3 linked regions of the Xenopus tropicalis genome follow. The main gene of each other region encodes a partner of the protein of the gene in region 2 in a complex. Links are inferred from orthologs where the notes say so. Each region holds a gene or a part of one and is shown on either strand. Other genes may lie near its edges.

Evidence for each region.
Region 1: ttc25 (region 2) and ccdc151 share a complex: the UniProt entries of both Homo sapiens proteins name them as parts of the outer dynein arm-docking complex. The link is inferred for Xenopus tropicalis from reciprocal best matches to the Homo sapiens genes ODAD4 and ODAD3.
Region 3: ttc25 (region 2) and efcab1 share a complex: the UniProt entries of both Homo sapiens proteins name them as parts of the outer dynein arm-docking complex. The link is inferred for Xenopus tropicalis from reciprocal best matches to the Homo sapiens genes ODAD4 and CLXN.

The regions. Positions count from the first base shown.
Region 1 is NC_030679.2:139,189,048-139,196,583, forward strand, and holds the end of ccdc151 (coiled-coil domain-containing protein 151), read right to left. Parts: intron 7,473-7,536; coding exon 7,350-7,472; intron 6,643-7,349; coding exon 6,499-6,642; intron 6,309-6,498; coding exon 6,148-6,308; intron 5,414-6,147; coding exon 5,257-5,413; intron 4,227-5,256; coding exon 4,071-4,226; intron 3,808-4,070; coding exon 3,723-3,807; intron 1,562-3,722; coding exon 1,431-1,561; 3' UTR 877-1,430; downstream 1-876. UniProt on the Homo sapiens protein: Component of the outer dynein arm-docking complex (ODA-DC) that mediates outer dynein arms (ODA) binding onto the doublet microtubule. Involved in mediating assembly of both ODAs and their axonemal docking complex onto ciliary microtubules.
Region 2 is NC_030686.2:7,204,641-7,212,176, reverse strand, and holds part of ttc25 (tetratricopeptide repeat protein 25), read left to right. Parts: intron 1-936; coding exon 937-1,068; intron 1,069-2,073; coding exon 2,074-2,227; intron 2,228-2,357; coding exon 2,358-2,419; intron 2,420-3,838; coding exon 3,839-3,998; intron 3,999-7,536. UniProt on the Homo sapiens protein: Component of the outer dynein arm-docking complex (ODA-DC) that mediates outer dynein arms (ODA) binding onto the doublet microtubule. Plays an essential role for the assembly of ODA-DC and for the docking of ODA in ciliary axoneme.
Region 3 is NC_030682.2:51,310,350-51,316,556, reverse strand, and holds the end of efcab1 (EF-hand calcium-binding domain-containing protein 1), read right to left. Parts: intron 5,497-6,207; coding exon 5,341-5,496; intron 5,260-5,340; coding exon 5,155-5,259; intron 4,340-5,154; coding exon 4,188-4,339; intron 3,245-4,187; coding exon 3,140-3,244; intron 1,230-3,139; coding exon 1,179-1,229; 3' UTR 829-1,178; downstream 1-828. UniProt on the Homo sapiens protein: Component of the outer dynein arm-docking complex (ODA-DC) that mediates outer dynein arms (ODA) binding onto the doublet microtubule. Seems to regulate the assembly of both ODAs and their axonemal docking complex onto ciliary microtubules.

The sequences.
Region 1 (7,536 bases), on a different chromosome or scaffold from region 2:
AGGCACTCAGGGGCGGGGTTACTGGAATAAGGAGTTACAGGGACAATAAGGCACTCAGGGGCGGGGTTACTGGAATAAGGAGTTACAGGGACAATAAGGCACTCAGGGGCGGGGTTACTGGAATAAGGAGTTACAGGGACAATAAGGCACTCAGGGGCGGGGTTACTGGAATAAGGAGTTACAGGGACAATAAGGCACTCAGGGGCGGGGTTACTGGAATAAGGAGTTACAGGGACAATAAGGCACTCAGGGGCGGGGTTACTGGAATAAGGAGTTACAGGGACAATAAGGCACTCAGGGGCGGGGTTACTGGAATAAGGAGTTACAGGGACAATAAGGCACTCAGGGGCGGGGTTACTGGAATAAGGAGTTACAGGGACAATAAGGCACTCAGGGGCGGGGTTACTGGAATAAGGAGTTACAGGGACAATAAGGCACTCAGGGGCGGGGTTACTGGAATAAGGAGTTACAGGGGCAATAAGGCACTCAGGGGCGGGGTTACTGGAATAAGGAGTTACAGGGGCAATAAGGCACTCAGGGGCGGGGTTACTGGAATAAGGAGTTACAGGGACAATAAGGCACTCAGGGGCGGGGTTACTGGAATAAGGAGTTACAGGGACAATAAGGCACTCAGGGGCGGGGTTACTGGAATAAGGAGTTACAGGGACAATAAGGCACTCAGGGGCGGGGTTACTGGAATAAGGAGTTACAGGGACAATAAGGCACTCAGGGGCGGGGTTACTGGAATAAGGAGTTACAAGGACAATAAGGCACTCAGGGGCGGGGTTACTGGAATAAGGAGTTACAGGGACAATAAAGAAAGGTTTATAGGACAATAAGATGGCAGAGGTAATGAGGCAGTACAGTTCTGCAGGCTCTGGGGAAATGTGTTTTTATTTGTAACACACAAAACAGAAAGGTCACAGAATCACAGTCAGACAGATCTCTGGTTGGCGTCATCACCCGCTGTTCCCACAATCCTGCTGCTCCCTCCAACGTCACGACATGCAAGTCCCTGACCCTCTGTTCTGTGCGAAGCCTCCAAGTCCTATCTGGAATGTAATGGGGATGCACACGGAGGAACAGAGCAAACAGAGAAAGGTACAAATCCGGAGGCAATTGGGACAAACAGAAAAGTTTGCTACTTTAACGGAGGAACCACAAGATTATTTTATTATAAAGACAAAGGGAAAAGGGTTATTTAATTTTAAAGGGGCACTTTGCAGGATTGAGCCTGTTGTATGTATGTAAGATATTTAGAATCAGATGATGAGTACAGGGAATTCTGGGTGTTATAAAGAGGGCACAGATACAGTTAGGGGTGTCCCAGATAGGCTGGGGCCTAGCACTACAGCTGAGCTTGTATCTCTGAGATAATGGTGGGAGCCTCTGTAGAACAGAGACCGGTGAGGGGTTGGTAGGAGGGTCCATCACTGCTTGCCCTTTTTCTTCTTGGGGCGGGTTCTCCTCTTTGTTTTCGATTCAATGATTTGCTGGGACTGTCTCTTTAAGGTTGCTCGTGTCACCACATCACCTTCATCTTCTCCGCTGTCCTCTTCATCTGCAGTGAGGGAGACAATGGAGGCTTACGTCATCGTAACAGGAAGCGGGATGGAAGGAAGTGACTAGTGGCTTCCAGGGTTAGATATTCTTAGCGAATTGCTAAGTAGAACTTAGAAGGTATTCTATCCTGTGCTGTGATTTGCCTACTGCCAACACCTGGAAGGGTATCTGCCCTCTGTATGCCAAGTTATACATTTCCTGCATTCTTTGAGCCCACCCTTGTGTGGAGACATTGAAGCCCTGTACAATGCATGCCACTTTAGTCAGAATATGTGCTCCTACCCACCTCCCTGTCCCCTGTCCCCTATACTAACCCTAATGGTGTCAATCACCATGCAGCTACCAACCTCCCTGTCGCCTGCACCTACCCACCTCCCTGTCCCCTTTACCAGCCATGCAGCTATCAGCCTCCCTGTCCCCTGTACCAGCCATGCAGCTATCAGCCTCCCTGTCCCCTGTACCAACCATGCAGCTATCAGCCTCCATGTCCCCTGTACCAGCCATGCAGCTATCAGCCTCCCTGTCCCCTGTACCAGCCATGCAGCTATCAGCCTCCCTGTCCCCTGTACCAGCCATGCAGCTATCAGCCTCCCTGTCCCCTGTACCAGCCATGCAGCTATCAGCCTCCCTGTCCCCTGTACCAGCCATGCAGCTATCAGCCTCCCTGTCCCCTGTACCAACCATGCAGCTATCAGCCTCCATGTCCCCTGTACCAGCCATGCAGCTATCAGCCTCCCTGTCCCCTGTACCAGCCATGCAGCTATCAGCCTCCCTGTCCCCTGTACCAGCCATGCAGCTATCAGCCTCCCTGTCCCCTGTACCAGCCATGCAGCTATCAGCCTCCCTGTCCCCTGTACCAGCCATGCAGCTATCAGCCTCCCTGTCCCCTGTACCAGCCATGCAGCTATCAGCCTCCCTGTCCCCTGTACCAGCCATGCAGCTATCAGCCTCCCTGTCCCCTGTACCAACCATGCAGCTATCAGCCTCCCTGTTCCATGTACCAGCCATGCAGCTATCAGCCTCCCTGCCCTTTGTACCAACCATGCAGCTATCAGCCTCCCTGTCCCCTGTACCAACCATGCAGCTATCAGCCTCCCTGTCCCCTGTACCAGCCATGCAGCTATCAGCCTCCCTGTCCCCTGTACCAACCATGCAGCTATCAGCCTCCCTGTTCCATGTACCAGCCATGCAGCTATCAGCCTCCCTGTCCTCTGTACCAACCATGCAGCTATCAGCCTCCCTGTCCCCTGTACCAACCATACAGCTATCGGCCTCCCTGTCCCCTGTACCAACCATGCAGCTATCAGCCTCCCTGTCCCCTGTACCAGCCATGCAGCTATCAGCCTCCCTGTCCCCTGTACCAACCATGCAGCTATCAGCCTCCCTGTTCCATGTACCAACCATGCAGCTATCAGCCTCCCTGCCCTTTGTACCAACCATGCAGCTATCAGCCTCCCTGTCCCCTGTACCAACCATGCAGCTATCAGCCTCCATGTCCCCTGTACCAGCCATGCAGCTATCAGCCTCCCTGTCCCCTGTACCAACCATGCAGCTATCAGCCTCCCTGTTCCATGTACCAACCATGCAGCTATCAGCCTCCCTGTTCCCTGTACGAACCATGCAGCTATCAGCCTCCCTGTCCCCTGTACCAACAATACAGCTATCAGCCTCCCTGTTCCATGTAACAGCCATGCAGCTATCAGCCTCCCTGTTCCCTGTACCAACCATGCAGCTATCAGCCTCCCTGTCCCCTGTACCAGTTCTGCCACTATCAGATTTCCGGTCTCTTGTACCAGCTATGTGTCAGTCTTCCAGATCCCCTATACCTGTAGCTATCAGACTTCTCACTGCCTGTTCCAATCCTACACTAATCCAACCATGCAGCAATTCCTACCCATATACCTATGCCGAACCCTCTGCCCATTTATTCTCAATTACTATCAAATCAGCCCTAAAAAGTGAAAGTAAATGTCTGTTCACCCTCTTGCACACATGGTATAACCGAATCAGTGAAAGAAACACACACATGGATATCAAGAACATTTTGTACAGACTGCTTTTTTTTTTTTTAAATTGGTTCGCTACTACCCCTCCCAGCTACCCAACCATGTGCTTTGTAATGGTTTTGTATTGCTAAAGTTAGTGCCAGGAACACTTACCTTCAAACATGTCCTGCTTGGATGGAGCTGGAAGGGAAATTCGTATGTTGTGCGCTGGCAGTTTGCCCTCAATGCTTGCCTGGAACTGAGAATATTGGGATTATAATATAGCGCATAAATGAATGCAAATCTATGCCCCTTTAGGCGCACTCCCAGCATCAAACAGTTAAGTACCAGCCATGGTACTCTCCCCCTTCATGATGCACAAAGCCATTAGAAATCACCAAAATCAATAGGAGTAATGTTCATTCCTTACCTACACATAGGGCGCATTACTCATGCAAGGTGCAAAAAACACAGGCCCAGTGGGCTGTGCGCTTCAGAACCATTACTTTCTCTTTTACTCACCTCTTCTTCATCCATTTGTTTGATAATCTGTCCCAGATCCTGCCCCTCCAGCTCTTCCAGAAGCTTCTGCAACTTCTCCTCAGTGATGCCCATTAGGTCAAGGACTTGCTCATCTGACAATGGAGAACCATCCAGAGCAGGAAAATAGACCTTTGGCTAAAATGGTGAAGAGATTAATCATAATATGGTTGTACTGTGCAGCCAAGAATGATACCCAGCTCCCCACGAGAGTCCTGGGAATCTGCTCCGAGGATGCTCTTGGGCCTAAAACTAACTTTGACTTTTAGTACAGGCTGTCTCCAGGAATTTAGCACTACCAAGGAAGCAGGCCCAGACTGCCAATCTGTGGGTTCAGGCAAATGCCAGAGGGGCTGCTGTAAGGTGCCATAGACACTCACTATTTATTGGGCCTATGGGGGGCTGTTTGGGCCTCTGTGTACTGAAAATCAGGCCCAGACTGGCAATCTGTGGGTTCAGGCAAATGCCAGAGGGGCTGCTGTAAGATGCCATAGACAGTCACTATTCATTGGGCCTATGGGGGGCTGTTTGGGCCTCTGTGTACTGAAAATCAGGCCCAGACTGGCAATCTGTGGGTTCAGGCAAATGCCAGAGGGGCTGCTGTAAGATGCCATAGACAGTCACTATTTATTGGGCCTATGGGGGGCTGTTTGGGCCTCTGTGTACTGAAAATCAGGCCCAGACTGGCAATCTGTGGGTTCAGGCAAATGCCAGAGGGGCTGCTCTAAGGTGCCATAGACACTCACTATTTATCGGGCTGGTTTGGGCCTAACTGAACTTAAAATACCAGGTCCTATTTTAAATCCCAGTCCAGGTCTGCAAGGAGGCTAACCAGCCTCCGATTTGGAAAACTTTAAAAAAATTCATAGGTTGTGAAAAAAATTGTCAGTAGTCCACAGCTGTAAGGTCATGTGAGTCTAAAAGGTTCTGACTCTGGCTAAAGAGTTTGGGTCCTGGAATATGCAAAGAGTGCCGAGAATTCTGGAATAAACCGGGAGCTCAATGCATCCCTAAAAATTTCCCCTGGCACCAGTCAGCCATTCCACTTTCTGTTGGCCGCTTTCCCAGGCTGTTCAGGAAAACCTGCAGCTCTCAGCAATGTACACTGTAGGATGGCAGCCAATCAGCACTGAATACATTTCCTGTATTGCATCAACCTAGTACTCACCACCTTGATGTGCTTGACTTTGCTTGCTAGATGTTCCACTCCAGCTTTGGTCTCATTCAGAATTTTGGACATTTGTTCTAGTTCCTCTTTGGTTTTCTCACACCTTTTCTCTTCTTTCTGGAGGTGACTCTGCAGCTCTTCCAGATCCTGCTGCCCTCTATTATGGAACAAAGTAAATGATGAGAGATATTATGTGGCTCTAGGCATTACAGTTAGGGTGAAGACACACGGAGCTAATTAGTAGCAGCTACTTGTCACGGCTACTAAATGCTGGAAAATCCCCTGCCATAGACAATACTGAGAATTGCCTCTGCTAAAACACACAAAGAGACAATTATCAGTAAATTATCAGCATTGTCTTTTTTTGTAGCCTTGACAAGTAGCTGCTACTGGTAGCTCTGTGTGTCTTCACCCTTAAGGTGGCCATACACATAGGCCTTATATTAACAACAGACCCCAGTCAGCCACTCCAGACCAATTCAGCAGCCATACACGTAGCAATAACGATCGTTCCTACCCTCCACTGACGTTCAGGGCTGAATTGTCAGATATGGAGGTAAAAACAATAGAAATTCTACCTCCACCTGCCAATTCAGTCCTGAAAATTTTGCTTGGGCGCCTTCAATGGTGCAATCTGGGCAATCACAGGGGTGGGCATATTGGGAACAGGTCCGCTCCATTGGTGACCTTGTGCTCTTTACATGTATGGCCAGCACATATGGCTAAATATAGAACATAGTTCCCTCTGTTCAGGATGATGGCCCAAACAAGCATTAAGTGAGATGGTTCTACAGCTCTGCTAGCAAACCTTTCTGCAGATGCAATGATGTGACTGAGGATTTCCATGACCACATAAGACCACTCTCAGTGGTCACAAGGAAACATATATACCTGGACAATTTGGCTTCCCCAGAGTACTTCTGGTTACGGAATTCCTCCTCCAGTTTCTCCTTCTGCTCTTTCAGCCTCACCAGTGTCCTTTCATTCTCAATCTTTAGTTCCTCCAAGTGTTTGCTAGTTTCTCCCTGGGCTATGAAGCGCCTCACAATCTCCTGCAGGGTTATAGGGGGAACATGGGGTGAAACCTCGGTAGTGCTGCAAGACACGTGTCCCAACCAGGCATTCAGCCTCCAGGGCACTCTATTGTATGTCACATGGCTAATGTCCCAGGATTGCTTTGATCTCAATGAGAAACGTGAGAGCACTGTGGTATATACCACGTATTACTGACAGCCCCCTCACCTGAGTATCTGTCACGCCAGTGGCTTCCTTTATCCTCTGAAAGGCTTCCTGGAAGGTGCGTATCACCTTTTCTTCATCTTCTCCACTTGGCGTCTGTTGAGTGTCCACTGTAGCATCGTCTCCAGGCAAGGCCACTCGCTGAGCCTATAAAAGCATCACAATTTCACATTTCATCAGAACAGCCAGGATCCAAAATGGATAACAGAGAGTAACATGATGACAGGGCCATGCCTATGGTCTCATTTATCAACAAGTGGAAAGGAGCAAAACCAAAACGTGCATGGCACTATGATTTCTGCCCACTATGCACAGTCACCTCCAAGTGGTGCTTAGAATAGTGCAAGAGTTGTGCTTTTCTCTCTCCCTGATAAATTTCACATGGAAAAGAGTTGGGTGTTCCTGGCATGTCCTACCTTGACATTATTCAGCATGCACCAAGCAGCATTGCTGGGGGTGGGGGCGAAAGGCACAAGAGAACCCTTTACTTAATGCCTCAACTTGAACCAATGTAGCAATAGTCAGCTGTCCTCCAGCCAAAAAGTCCCACAATGCTTTGTATGCTTCTTCACATTAATCAGTTGGCTTCTGCTACATTGTTTCAGGAGTCAGACAGATACTGCATTAATAGCAATCACATTTAGAAACTGGCGCTTGCCCTCAGAGTAGCACACAAGTGCCCACACTCCCACATGCCTTCCATGCTTAGTGCAACTTGCACCCAGATGAACAGTATTCACTAACCTGGGAGATTCTTTGTGTCTCTGGGTTTGGGCACAGAGATTGGCAGAGTCATTATGAGGGAGAGATATGGGGTAAAGCTCTTTGGGTGGGGTAGGGAATCAAAACCTTACCCTTCTTTCCACGCGCTCAGCATGAATACGTCTCTCTTCCGCTTGCTTTTTGTAATTCTGAAGGGTGCGCTCTCTTTCCCTTCTTTCTCTTGTAACTTCTTCTTCCTGCTGCTGAAGGTCAGTCTGTCAACCAGAAGGTAAAAGAGCATACCATAAATACCCAGCGCTCAATGCACACGAACTATAG
Region 2 (7,536 bases):
GCCAACATATTCCGCAGGCTGCTATAAACAACATGATGTTTTACTCCACTTTTTACACAGCATGATAAATATAGTATATTAGTTAGGGGTGGGGGCTATACACTTGCTGGGGTCCGTTTATGTAGAGACTTTACGCAAAGGAGAATTCTGGGAGTTGTAGTTTAGTACTAGGTGTCGTGAACGTTACTAGGTTGTGATATGGGCTATTACTATAGGCCAGGGGTGGGCAGACCTACAGGTCCAACAGAAATCCATGGGGGATCGACTGGTGGACCGCGATAGATGTATTGGCCACCCCTGCTATAGGCAGTAGGACTTCGTTGTATTAATATGGCTTTGTTTGGTAATACTGCACATTCAGATGGTCCCAAATAGTCACTGCTCAAAGGGTGAGTATGAAGGGGAATATTATAATAGGAGCCCCATTCATACTTACATGGGATAATGGAAATTTATCAAATCAAGCTTTCAGTGCAACGTCATAGCTTAAGGTCCCCATACACAGGCCGATTCTAGCTGCAGATATGGGTCCCTTAGACAGATTCGGCAGCTAATCGGCCCGTGTATGGGCACTACCGACGGGCCTGCCCGACCGATATCTGGCCTGAAATCGGGCAGATCTCGATTGGGCAGGTTAGAAAATCTGGTCGGATCGGGGACCGCATCAACCTGCCAATGCCATTTGCCCATCATTGTAATTCGATCGTTTGGCCCTTGGGCCAAATGATTGAATTACCCTGGATTCTCCCGATATCGCCCTCCCATAGGTGGGGATATCGGGAGAAGATCCGCTCGCTTGGCGGATCTTATAGTGTATGGGGAGTCTTAGAGTGGGCACCTTTGCCCCTTTCAAAATGAGCCTATCCCAGAAATGCTGTTTCCAAGGATTAGCCCCTAGGCATGATGGTCTCTGTAGTCTCATCTTCTCAATCGTAGGCACTTCATCTGCAGCCTGAGGATAAGAACTGCCTCGTTGCTCGTTCCAAATGTTTCCTAAAACTTGGGGATCCGGAATGTGCCCTGAAGGACGCAGAGACCTCTCTACAGATCGAAAAAGATTTCTTCAAGGTAACAGCAGCCTTTATTGATTTCTTTACGACTGATAATACATCTCATACCTATATAAAAACAACAATTTAACCCATCCATTTAGTTCACTTAAACATCTTCTGCTTTTCTGCAATAGCAATAAAAATCTACTCTCTGTATGCCCTGCCCAGTAAAATGGGTTGTTCACCTTCAAAATAACTTTTAGTATGATGTAGAGAGCGCTGTACTGAGACAATTTGCAATTGGTCTTCATTTTTTTATTGTTTGCCATTTAATTGTTTAGCAGCTCTCCAGTTTGGAATTTCAGCAGCCATCTGGTTGCTAGGGTCAAATTTAAACTAGATACCAGACAGTGGTTTGAAAGAGAGACAGGTATATGAATAGAGGAGGGCCTAGATAGGAGGATAAGTTACAGTAAAACTGTAGCCTCACAGACAGCGTTGGACTGGGTCGCTGGGCTACTGGGAAAAATCCCCGTGGGCCCCCGGCCCTAGTGGGATCCGATCACCCCCAGGGCGCTCCCACTGTCTCCCTCACCCCAAGCGCCACAGGTAAGTTTCTTTTAGGAGCACTCAAGGGTGTTGGGGGCCTCTGTGGGGGGGAAGGGGGGGGTGAAGGCGGCAGGGGCCATTGGAGGGTGCAGGGACCCCTGAGGCAGAAGCCCCGGTGGGCCCTGCATCCCCCAGTCTGACCCTGCTCACAGACCAATAGTTTTTGGCTGCTGGGGTCAGTGATCCCCATTTAAAAGCTGAAAAGAGTCAGAAGAGGAATAACTAAAAAACGAAGAAAATGAAGACCAATTGAAAAGTTGCTAAGAATAGGCCATTCTCTAACATACTAAAAGTTAACCTGAAGGTGAATCATTGTATGCTTGTATATATTGGATCTGTCCAGTATGCACGCTGTTGTTTAACTATAACTCCCAGCATGTAATGAGAAAGCTTACTGTAAGCAATGTGCTTTAATAGGTGTTACCCACTATTCTGCCATTTAATTCCACACTGTTTTTTTATTCACTTTTAGGGTCTTTACCAGAAGGCGGAGGCACTCTATTCTATGGGAGACTTTGAATTTGCCCTTGTGCATTACCACAGAGGGTACAAGCTGCGGCCAGAATTTCAGGGATTCCGCCTGGGGATTCAAAAGGCGCAGGAAGCAATAGAGAACTCTGTTGGAAGTGAGTCGTTTCTGGCTGTGCTGTCTTATCCAGTTTGTCCCTTGTATTTCACCATTTATGCATGTATGTATACAGATATATAGATACACTTGCATATATTCTTTTACTGATATTTCTCTTTTCCCCATAGCTCCTGCCAGTGTTAAACTTCAAAATAAAGCAGACTTGCAGTTCATAAGCAGACAGGAGGAGGTAAAATGCTTTCTTTGTACAATGGTTTCTATTTGATATATTGCCTGCCACAGACATTTAAATATGAAGTGAATATGGAATATGATGTAGCTTGGGAGAAAGAAATGTATGATCATCTCCCATGTTTATGTGTATGCCACAGTCTGTGTTATGTCCTCATAAAGGCCAGCCTGGCTTATAAGAAAGTTTTACTTTACCTTGAAAGGCTAGCTGGGACTTACCATGTTTACAGATTTCTTCCTCTGAAGTTACCCTAATAGCGGCCATACACAGGCAGATTGTTAGCTTTTTCGTCTCCTTCAGTCCGAGTTGGCAGCTTATCTGCCCATGTATGGGGCACTCCGGTGGGTCTACCCGACCTATTTCTGGCTGAAAATCAGGCAGAATTCAATTGGACAGGTTTAAAAATCTCTCAAGTGATGATCTCATCAGCTCATTGGGCCTGTATCCCTGACCTTGTGATTCGATCATTTGGCCAGAGGCTATTACAGGTGCCGGACCCCTTATCCGGAAACCCGTTATCCAGAAAGCTCCGAATTACGGAATGCCCATCTCCCATAGACTCCATTTTAATCAAATAATTCAGAATTTTAAAACTGATTTTCTTTTTCTATGTAGAAATAAAACAGAACCTTGTAATTGATTCCAACTAAGATATAAATAATCCTTATTGGATGCAAAACAATCCTATTGGGTTTAATTAATGTTTTATTGATTTTTTAGTACTCTTAAGGTATGGAGATCCAAATTACGGAAAGACCCCTTATCCGGAATACCCTTGGTCCCGAGCATTCTGGATAATGGGTCCTATACCTGTACAATGTGGATCGTTCAAGTTATGGCCCACTTAAGGTGGCCATACACAGGCAGATAACAGCTGCTGATTTGGGTCCTTCACACTGATTCGGCAGTTTATCTGCCCGTGTATGGGCACCCCCGATGGGCCTACCTGACCAACAACTGGCCTAAAATTGGGCAGATCTCAATCAGGCAGGCATTTTTCCTTCGGATCTAGGACCGCATCGGCTTGTTGATTGACTTGTTTGACCATTTGGCCACCTTAGGTGGGCATGAGAAGATCGGGAAAAGATCTGCTTGTTTGGCAACCTTGTCAAATGAGTAGATCACACCATGTATGGCCACCTTATATATGTTGTTGGGAGCCTTTGATGCCATTTGACCTCTGTTTATTAGCACTTAGATACCAGAGCTATTGTATTATTAATAGCTAACGTACTCTCCAAAGTGTACCCTACAGCCTTACCTAACTACCTCCACTGCTACAAAGAAGTATATATATATATATATAGTAATGGAGATAGAACTTTTTGCAAGAGCATGGTACTAGTACATGATACATGTTATTGAGGCTGAAATAAACACCAAAGGCTACATTGTTTATAATTTAATTTACTTCAGAGCAAGAAAGCTAAGCAGAAGGCTCAGGTGAAGGTGCAGAAGAAGGATACAAAACAGCAGAAGAAAGTAGATCCTGAGAGGAGCCAGAAGACAGCGCGCCAGCTCCTCGGAGAGCTGTACAGTGATAAGGAGTATCTGGAATCATTATTAAGGGATGAAGGTAGGTAGTTAAATGAATTTAGTATTCTTATTCAGGTGCCCTCATTATGATGTAAGCGCCTGCTTTAAAGGAGGAGAAACGCGCAAATCACTGGGTGTGCCAAATGTAAGGCTCCCCGTCCCCAGTGATTATAGGAAAAAAGAAGGAGCAGAAGAAGAGGATTGTGCCGTGGTGTTTACTGAAAAGTACCCAGGGCTGGTGCAGTTTTCTGCTAACAGAAACACCGGCTCAGGGTATCAGGGAAGTGATTAACATTTGGACTTTAAGGTGCCGATCTGTGGAGCAAGATGCTCTGAAAATCTGGCCAATTAAAGGTGCCCATACACGTTAAGTTTCGTTCGCTTGGCGAGATCGCCAAGCGAGCAGATCTTCACCCGATATCCCCACCTACGGGTGGGCAATATCGGGGAGCGTGTAGGCTAATTCAATCGTTTGGCCCTGGGGCCAAACCATCAAATTATATTGGCGGAAATGGGGCAGTCGGTTTGTGGTCCGCATCAACGAGCCGAATTTTCTAACCTGCCCGATTGATATCTGGCCAATTTCAGGCCAGATATCGGTCGGGCTGGCCCCTCGTTTCTGCCCCTACATGGGCCGATAAGCTGCTGAATCGGTCCAAGGGACCCATATCGACAGCTACAGTATGGGGACCTTTAGACTTTTTTACCTGACAATATCTTCTTGTATGGCTTCCTAGGATAATGTTTTATCAGACTGTTCTCTGATCCTATCGCAGTGTTGTCTGTTTGGACATGACTTTACTAATCTGAAATACTTAAAAGGTAGATCTAGGGGACAGTAGATAAAGCCCCTGGCTGCTGATGCATGCTATTGGCACATGTCAGGGACACCGGAAATAGCAGAGCTTGTGTAGTCCAGCAGCCGGACACTCAGATTAATGCAATCTTGCCATTAACATGTGTGGACAAATCACAAAACAAAGTTCTTAGGTTTCTTTTTCTGATATTTTTATTTCCATATTCCATCTATTTTTTTGTAATGACAAGCTATAAGGGTTCATTTAAATGCCCCACACAGGGTGCAGACAGGGGCGCACAAGTGCTTCCCAAATGAGAACCAAGGGGCGCAATTTTGCCCCCCAGGGATGGATAAATTCTATGCATCCATAGCTTAAAGGGGTCCTCCACCTAAAAACTTTTTTTTTTTTTGTATAGTGGAAGAAAGTGTAATTTCAAGCAACTAAGCAGTCTGGGCTGAAATAGAGCTTATATGTTCAGGTAACACCTGTGCTGCAAAACAGTAAAAGCAGTGATGATACTTGGTTTGACCACAAGATGGCACTATGTAGCCATATACATAAAGTGTTCATCAGAATTATTGTGTTATATCCAAGTATTTTCCAGCACAAGGCATTTTTTTATTGAAGGCAAAACAGTAAAGAAGAAACAAAACCCGTAAGCATAACCATACAAATATAACATTATATTCAATAAGGAATTATAGTGAATAACAGTTTTTCATCTAAAACATAGAAAGTTATCACCACAAACATTTCCCATCAACGAAAGAAAGTCACATGGTATTACCATACAATAAGGAACTTTATGGGTAAATCCATTTTAACTGCAGAATTATATCAGCATAAATTCAGCTAACTCAGTGGCAGTGGTGTAACAATAGTGCGCTGGGCCCACCCACAAAAGATTTTTGGAGGGGCCCATTGTGCACAGCAGCCCAGCCTTCCCTCCACCCACCCTGCATGTAACCCCTGCTCCCTGGCTGCTCATGCTGGGGTAGGTAAGGGAGCGGCTGGGGAGGGGGGCATTCTAAAAACTATTGAGGAAGCAGACCCTGTGATCCAGGCCCACGGGCCCCCTGGCCTATGCACAAATGACACTTGGGCAAAGTACAAAATACTGGTATAAAGAGCCCTATTTGGGAGTGCAAAGAATGACGCAGGCTTCTATATTATTATTATTATCATTATTTATATAGTGCCATCAATTTACGCAGTGCTTTACAGAATAGAGGGGTACAAAAGACATAACAGTTAACATATACATATAAACAATTCACAAAAATGGTTTGCAGTTACATTGGATGAGGATCAGAGACACTAGGGGGAGGGCCCTGCTCGCAAGAGCTTACATTCTAAAAGAATGTATGTTTCTGTATGGCATCCTCCATAATGTTCACATCATACAGGCAAAAGCAGCAGAGGATGCTGGGAGGAAGGCAGTGAGTCAAGTACGAGGCCCCCTTGCGTCCGTGCATATTGCGCTCTGCATCTCATCGCAGATATTGTCATTGTTCCAAAATCCAACGCAACCAATTAACAAGGATCATTCCAGTGCAGTCATAGGAACACCACTGTTGCTATGGGTTACTGGACAGCAACCCCTTTCCCTTTTATACTTCCCTTATTCATGCAGGTGTTTTGTGTCAGTAGCAGCTCTGAACAATCACCATCCTGTAGTACTTCTATGAAAGCTATTTCACAGCATAATGAAATATTAAAATGATGGTGTTTTTTGCACCATTTTTCAGTTGCCGTACACATTTTCCAGACCCTTGCACACTGCGCCGGGGCAGGAAAATACATAGAAACAATATGTTCAGCTTATCAGATCCTTGCAGAGCGGCTGCATCAAACGCTGAATGAGCCAATAGAGATCCAGTGACAGTGAGTCTGGCAGCACCTGGCACAGGGGTTTCTGGGAATGTGCAAAAAACAGCACGGGTTGTGATACAGACCCTTTATTGTAAATAACAGGAATGGGATAGGATCACTTAAAGTGACAACATTTTCCACATATGTATACAGCTCTGACCCCTTAGGGTGAAGACACACAGAGCTACTAGTAGCAGCTACTTGTTGTGGCTACTAAAACAGATAATGTTGATCATTTACTGATAATTGTCTCTACGTGTGTTTAGCAGAGGCAATTCTCAGTATTGTCTATGGCAGGGGATTTTCTAGAGTTTAGTAGCCGTGACAAGTAGCTGCTACTAAGTAGCTCTGTGTGTCTTCCCCCTTAGGCTGATGTTAGCAAGTTAGTCACCTGCGATAGATCATACAAAGTTTTGTCCTGCAGGCAACTTTGCGCAACTTCACAAAGCCAAAGTGATGCTTGGACCATTCGTATTGTTGCCAGTGGAAAGGCATCTTGGAGCGGTTAGTTGCCCGCGGTTCAGAGATCTATCACTGGTGACCAACTCACTCCGTGGGCCATCAGCCATCGGCCTTCACAGATTAACTTCTAGTATGATGTAGATAATCTGAGAAAATCTGCAATTCGTTTTCACTTTTTATTTTTTGTAGTTTTTCAGTTATGTAGCTTTTTGTTCGGTGGCTCTCCAGTTTGGAATTTCAGCAGCTATCCTGTTGCTAGGGTCTTGTTTACCTTAGCAACCAGGCAGTGGCTTGAATGAGAGACTGGAATAGGAGAAGGGGTGAATAGAAAGATAAGGAATAAAAAGTAACAATAATAATACAATTGGCAGCTTACAGAGCCCCATAGTGACGCTACTTATAATGGCAGCTGCGGTCTTAAACAAACAGAGAAAGCTTCTAGGG
Region 3 (6,207 bases), on a different chromosome or scaffold from region 2:
AAACAAAACTGGTAACTATGTAAAGTCTTAAAGCGGACCTGTCACCCTAAGAAATAATTACAAATTGTTTTCTATTGTATTTGTCAAGCAAAATAAATTTCAGTTACACTATATAAATTATTTTAAACATGTTTCCTTTAGCTCTGGAATTCACAATTCCAGAACATAGGCAGGCTCCATTTTGTGGACATTGTTATTAAGGCAAGCTGTGCATCCTGCTAAAATCTTGTTTCTGTGCCAGTATGGGGGGACCTGATACCAATATCCATGCACTGGTTACACAATTAGATGGTGAGGAGGGAGGGGGAATGTGAGGAGTGCAGTGACATCTAAGGAGTTCTGAATTGAAAGTATCTGTCTGCCCCACCCCTATGCCTAAGGCATAAGGTGGCCATACACGCACCGATATTATCGTACGAAACCTCGTTTCGTACGATAATCGGTGCGTGTATGGCATGTCGGCGAGTCGACCGATATCGCAGGAAGCTGCCGATATCGGACGACTCGCCGATCGGACAAGTTTGAAAATTTTGATCGGGCGCCATAGAAGGCGCCTGACCAAAATTCTCCCTTCAGAGCTGAATCGGCAGAAGGAGGTAGAAATCCTATTGTTTCTACCTCCTTACCTGCCGATTCAGCCCTGAATGGTGTGTGGCGGATCTTACGATGTTTCGTGCGACCGATGGTCGTACGAAACATCGTCGGATCGCCACGTGTATGGCCACCTATAGAGGCAGGTCAGGCAATATATGACTGACAGCTGGGACTTTTAAATGCTTATATAATGGGTTTGGATATGTTAATAAAAAAATTACTTTGGGTTACACATTTAATTTGAAAAGGGCTTTTATTATACAGCTTTTAATGTCTGGGTGACAGGTCCACTTTAATATGTCATTAAAAGTTTATAAACTGAATACAGTCTTACAAGTGTGAGTGGTCACTGGATTTCAGTGCAGCCCCCCCAGCTTATGTAATATTCAGACAGCTGAAGTCTGTCCAACCACAGATGCAGATTGGACATACATGTTCCTTTTTTACAGACTTTAGTAAATTGTGGGATGCTTGTATCAGAGAATGTGTTGTACACTGTACAGATCATTTCCAGTTCTGATGGACCAGCTCTATTCATTCCCGTACGTAGTCAAGGTGATTGCAGTACTATTTGCACATCATTTCTATATATCATTGATCTCTGTAAAAGCTTGTTTTTCAAAGGCCATAATGCACTGGAAGAAAAAAAAAATATTATTAATTATCCTTTATTATTTCCAATACCACCATCGTTAAGTAACTCATACAGATGTTATTTTTCATTCACACTAGTCCTTGGCCTTGGAGCTTGAATTTAAAGAGCCCACTTACACAACGCATATAGGGTTAATTTCTTTAGAAGCCAATTCACTTTTCCCGTATGGGTGGAAACCAGTGTACACAGAGAAAACTAATACAAATACCCCCCATATGTAATAAAAGGCACTAACTGTGCCCAGTACCAGTAACCCGTAGCAACCAATAAGATGTTTGCTTTTAAACAGGTGATCAGTAAATTCTACCTGCTGATTGGCAGCTATGGGTTACTGCTCCTGGGCAAACTTAGTGCCTTTTATTAAATAACCCCCATAGTGCCTATATCAAAATTCAGGCAGCAGAGTTTACCACTGTTAAAGTGATGATACTGTAATTAAATTATGAAATACAATTTTATTTGTAATCCTATTAAATCCTGTACACAAAATAAAATAGTTTCTGCCACATAATATATGATTTATGTGACAGGAAAAAAAGGGTTAAAATTTACAAAGCGCTTTAAATTTTTTTAGAAAAGTTACAAGCAATGGCACATGGCATAAATCCCAACATTTTGACACCTGTGCAATTTTCACTTTGCTGGGTGCAATAATGCTTGGGTTTGCCCCTCCATTGACTTAAATAGTACTAGTGGGTCAGGCTTCTGTCATTGGGATAAACACATTTCCAAGCAATAATCATTTAATCTGTGAGTGCCCTAGAATAGTCAATTCAATTAACATTTAAGTTAGCTTAAAATTGTAATTTTGCCACTTTTTATCTGCTGCTGCTCTTCACTTCTTTTACCCTGACCGAAGGAATTTTTTTGTCAGGGACAATAATCTTCAATCCACCAGGACCGTGGATTATTGTTTTGAGGGCAGAATGACAGGACATATATGCCCAAATGGTTGGGCAGTATATTGGCCAAACTATAATACCAAATCTTAGCAAAAATGGGCAGTTTGACACAACTCCTGCGAGGTCACCAAACGAGTGGATCTTCTCCCAGTGTGCCCACCTAAGGTTGGCAACATCAGGCAAATTTGATCATTTGGCCCTAATTATTGAATAAAAAGATTGGTATATGGGCAGTTGGACTGAGGACCACATCAACGAGCCAGTGGTCCTCCATCTGATGGGAAAATTAAAGATTGAGATCTGGCCAATTTTAGGCCAGATATTGGTCGGGTAGGACCTTTGGGGGTGCCCATACACGGGAAGATAAGCTGCTGAATCAGTCTGAAGGACCTGAATCAGCAGCTGAAATCTGCCTGTGTATGGCCACCTTAACCAGACTGATCAAAATTAATTGCTAATTGGTTGCTATGGGTAACTGCACACTATTGACAGCTAATTGTGGTCATGAAAGAGAAAGAGAAGGTCCATATATGAAACCATATATCCTGCAATAGACTGCACATGGTTTTATAAAGTGGTTGTTTATTCTAAATCACTAACACTTTCTAATAATTTAAGACAACTGGAGGGCATAAGATCTCTTAGGGACAACCTTTTAAAAAAAAAGTCAGTGCTGTTAAAACATACATTTATGGCAGTTTGAGCCTTTTTCTACCAGCACGTAGGTTTAACTTTCTTGGCAAAAAAGGGTCAAACTGGACACATAGATTTGGCCACACATTAAAAGGTCAAACTGCACTAGTACACAAGTTAAGTCCATTGTGCTGATCACACAGGTGTCCAATTGTCTGTTATATTCTTTTATGTGGTTATTCCTTTATTGGTTGTCCTAGCTGTCTATACATATGTCTATATGTCTATACATATGTCCATATGTCTATATGTCTATCCCTATAAAACAAATAAGGAGTTCAGAGAATTTTCTTACTTTGCTATCTGGAAGACAAGGCCCAAATGCTTCTAGCAGAAGATTTTCTTCTTGTACAGCCTTTTCAAAATCCATATAGGACAATTTGCTGTCGTGGTCATAATCCTATAAAAAAAACTGATGGATTACTGCTTTTCCAACATGCCTTATTGCAATAGCATTTATTTCCATATATAAGAGGAGAATTTTTGCCCTACTTCCTGTAATATTTCCTACACAGCATTGTAATAAGTATGGCAGCTTCCCCCATAAATGCAGCTAACCCATGTTGTGCACACAGAATATGCTATACCCTTATTCTTTATAGAGAGATAAATTATCAGACACAATTTTAGCTTTCTGTGCTAAAGAACTACATTTTTCTTTTAATAAAGATCCATAGACAGGCAGCACTTGGTGATCCCTGGAATTCCTGCCAGGCCCAGACTGCTGGTAGTTTAAGGGTTCCAAAGCATTTAAGCACACAACTTAATGCAATTTATCAGTCACAGGTTAAATGATTACCTGAATGCCTGTCTGCTGATAATAAAGGCCCAGACTGACAATCTGTATAACTTGACATATGTCAGTGCAGATGCTATATACTGCCATAGACATCCACTATTTATTGGGCCTGTGGGGGCTGTTTGGGCATCACTTTAGTTGAAAAGCCAGGGTGAGTCCAGACATGAACATAACCATAGATGTTATTACAATAGTCTTCTTTTTCTCGCCTGTTGCAGAGTACAAGGAAAAAAAAAAGCTACATATACAGGACACTTACTGTGAACTTATCACACAAAACCTATTTTGCAGGTTGCCATCAGAATTTATAGGGCATGCAGTCCTTGGATGGGGAATCATTTCAGAAGAGATTCAAAGGGCTGATTGGCTGTGAATCATTTAAGTTGTATTATGCATGTGCAGCTGGATTTTACAAAATGGACTGACTAATTGCATATGTTACAAAAAAAAACTAAATTATGTGGTCAGTAGTCACTCTGAAACTACTGGTCAGTGAATCCACAGACTGTTGCTTATATGCTGGAATATTAGAAATGACATTTACCATCTTTTTTAATGCTATTTCAACCAAGTCCTTTACACCTTCATCAGGATCTTCCTCACTTGGCTGCTTCAGTAGGCTGTTCTTTAACATGTGGAACATCTCTTCTCTGGAGATATAGCCATCACCATTCAGGTCATAAACACCAAAACAATCTATGAAAAGGGATCACGATTTTGTAAAAGGAAGATATTAGAAAAAGCTTTGCCCAACTCTTAGTTTAGTAATTTAATACAGCAAAAAAATGTAAAATATTTTCACTTGCCACCCTGCAAATACACAGTTTATTTTAAGTAAAGCTAGCTAATCAGCTTGATGTGTAGGGAAAAACTTTGCATATTATTGTAAAGGCAAAGATTTTTAAGGCACAGTCTCCAAGGGTGAGGGCACACAGTGCGTATATGCGCTTCAGATCCACTTCTCCAGTGTTTCCATTGCTTCTCTGTAACAATGTGTTTGTGGATTAGCCTATAGCCAGTGGAGGAACAACCAGGGGTGTGGAGGGTGCACACCCCCTCAGGGCCCTCCAGCTGCTCGCAAAAAAAAGATGTCCTGTGGGGGGGGGGCGCAGATCATGGGTATGAAGATACCATCAAGGGTTGGGTTGGGCATAAGACTAGCTATATCCAGGTTAACACAAGTTTGTGGCTTTAGATCTCTAAATGGGAGATTTGTAATGGTATTTATTTTTTATATGTTTAAAACAGGACTGTCCCATTGGGGGCCCAATGAGTCACATGTGGCTCTCTGGCTTTTTACCCTCCAGCATGTCCAAGATCTCTGAAGCCGCCTTAATATGCCTCCATTGTTTATAATAATCTGTTCCGTAAATAAGAAAAATAGGAGATATATTTCCCACAGTGCTGCTGGTTACAAAGGTAAAATGCTGATAATACATTTTGATCAATACTGCAAATACTGTATCAATATATGAGCTTGTGTATCCATGTATCATATAAAAACTTCTTACATTTTATCCTTTCTTCTAGAGTCCCACGTAAAAATACGGACAGGCCTTCCACCCATTCTGTAACACTGATGTAGCTGTCATTATCTTTGTCAAATCCTCGAAACACTAGAAGATAAAGAAGTTAAGGCCATGTCAAAAGATTCAACAACTGATTCTTTGAAATTCACTCAGATAAAAGTCTCCCACCTCTGTCCATGATCATATCATCTGTCATGCCAAATGTATTGTGCAGGATATTTCTGAAAGTGTTTCGGTCAATGCCACGCCTTGTATTAGGATCAATGGGTCGTCCCACCAAAGTATGATAAAGGCGGATGAGGCTCTCCACTTCATTCTTACTAACTGCAAATTAAAGATATATAGTGTAATACTGAAACAAAATTTTAGTTGAGCAGATCATGTCAAAATTCAACCATACTTTGAATGCAATAGCCATGTTTTCCCACAATGTACTGCTTTTTCCAAGAATCCTGCAAGCCTAATGTGGGCTTTGAATTAGATGCAACTTCACATCATTTGCACTGTATCCGGCACAAATGCGCCCCAATTATCAAAATGGATGCAAATGCGTGTGTACTTTGCCACAGTTACGCCAATATATATTTGCAGACTGCCTGGCATCAGTTCTGATATTCAGCCTGTGAATGCTGTCTAAGCATTTCTTTAACCCCAAGTTTGCTGCATCTGTTGACTCAGGGCCCTGAAGGAACCCAGGAGCTAACACCTGGATGCAAGTACAGGTATGGGACCTATTATCCAGAATGCTTGGGACCTGAGGTTTTCTGGATAAGGGATCTTTCCATAATTTGTATCTCCATACCTTAAGTCTGCTAAAAATATCATTGAAATATTGAAGAAACCCAATAGAATCATTTTGCCTCCAATAAGGATTGCTTATATCATAGTTGGGATCGAGTAAAAGGTAGTGTTTTATTATTACAGGAAAAAAGGAAATCATTTTAAAAAATTAGAATTATTTGCTTATAACGGAGTCTATGGGAGACGGCCTTTCCCTAACTCGGAACTTTCAGCATAATGGGTTTACGGATAACG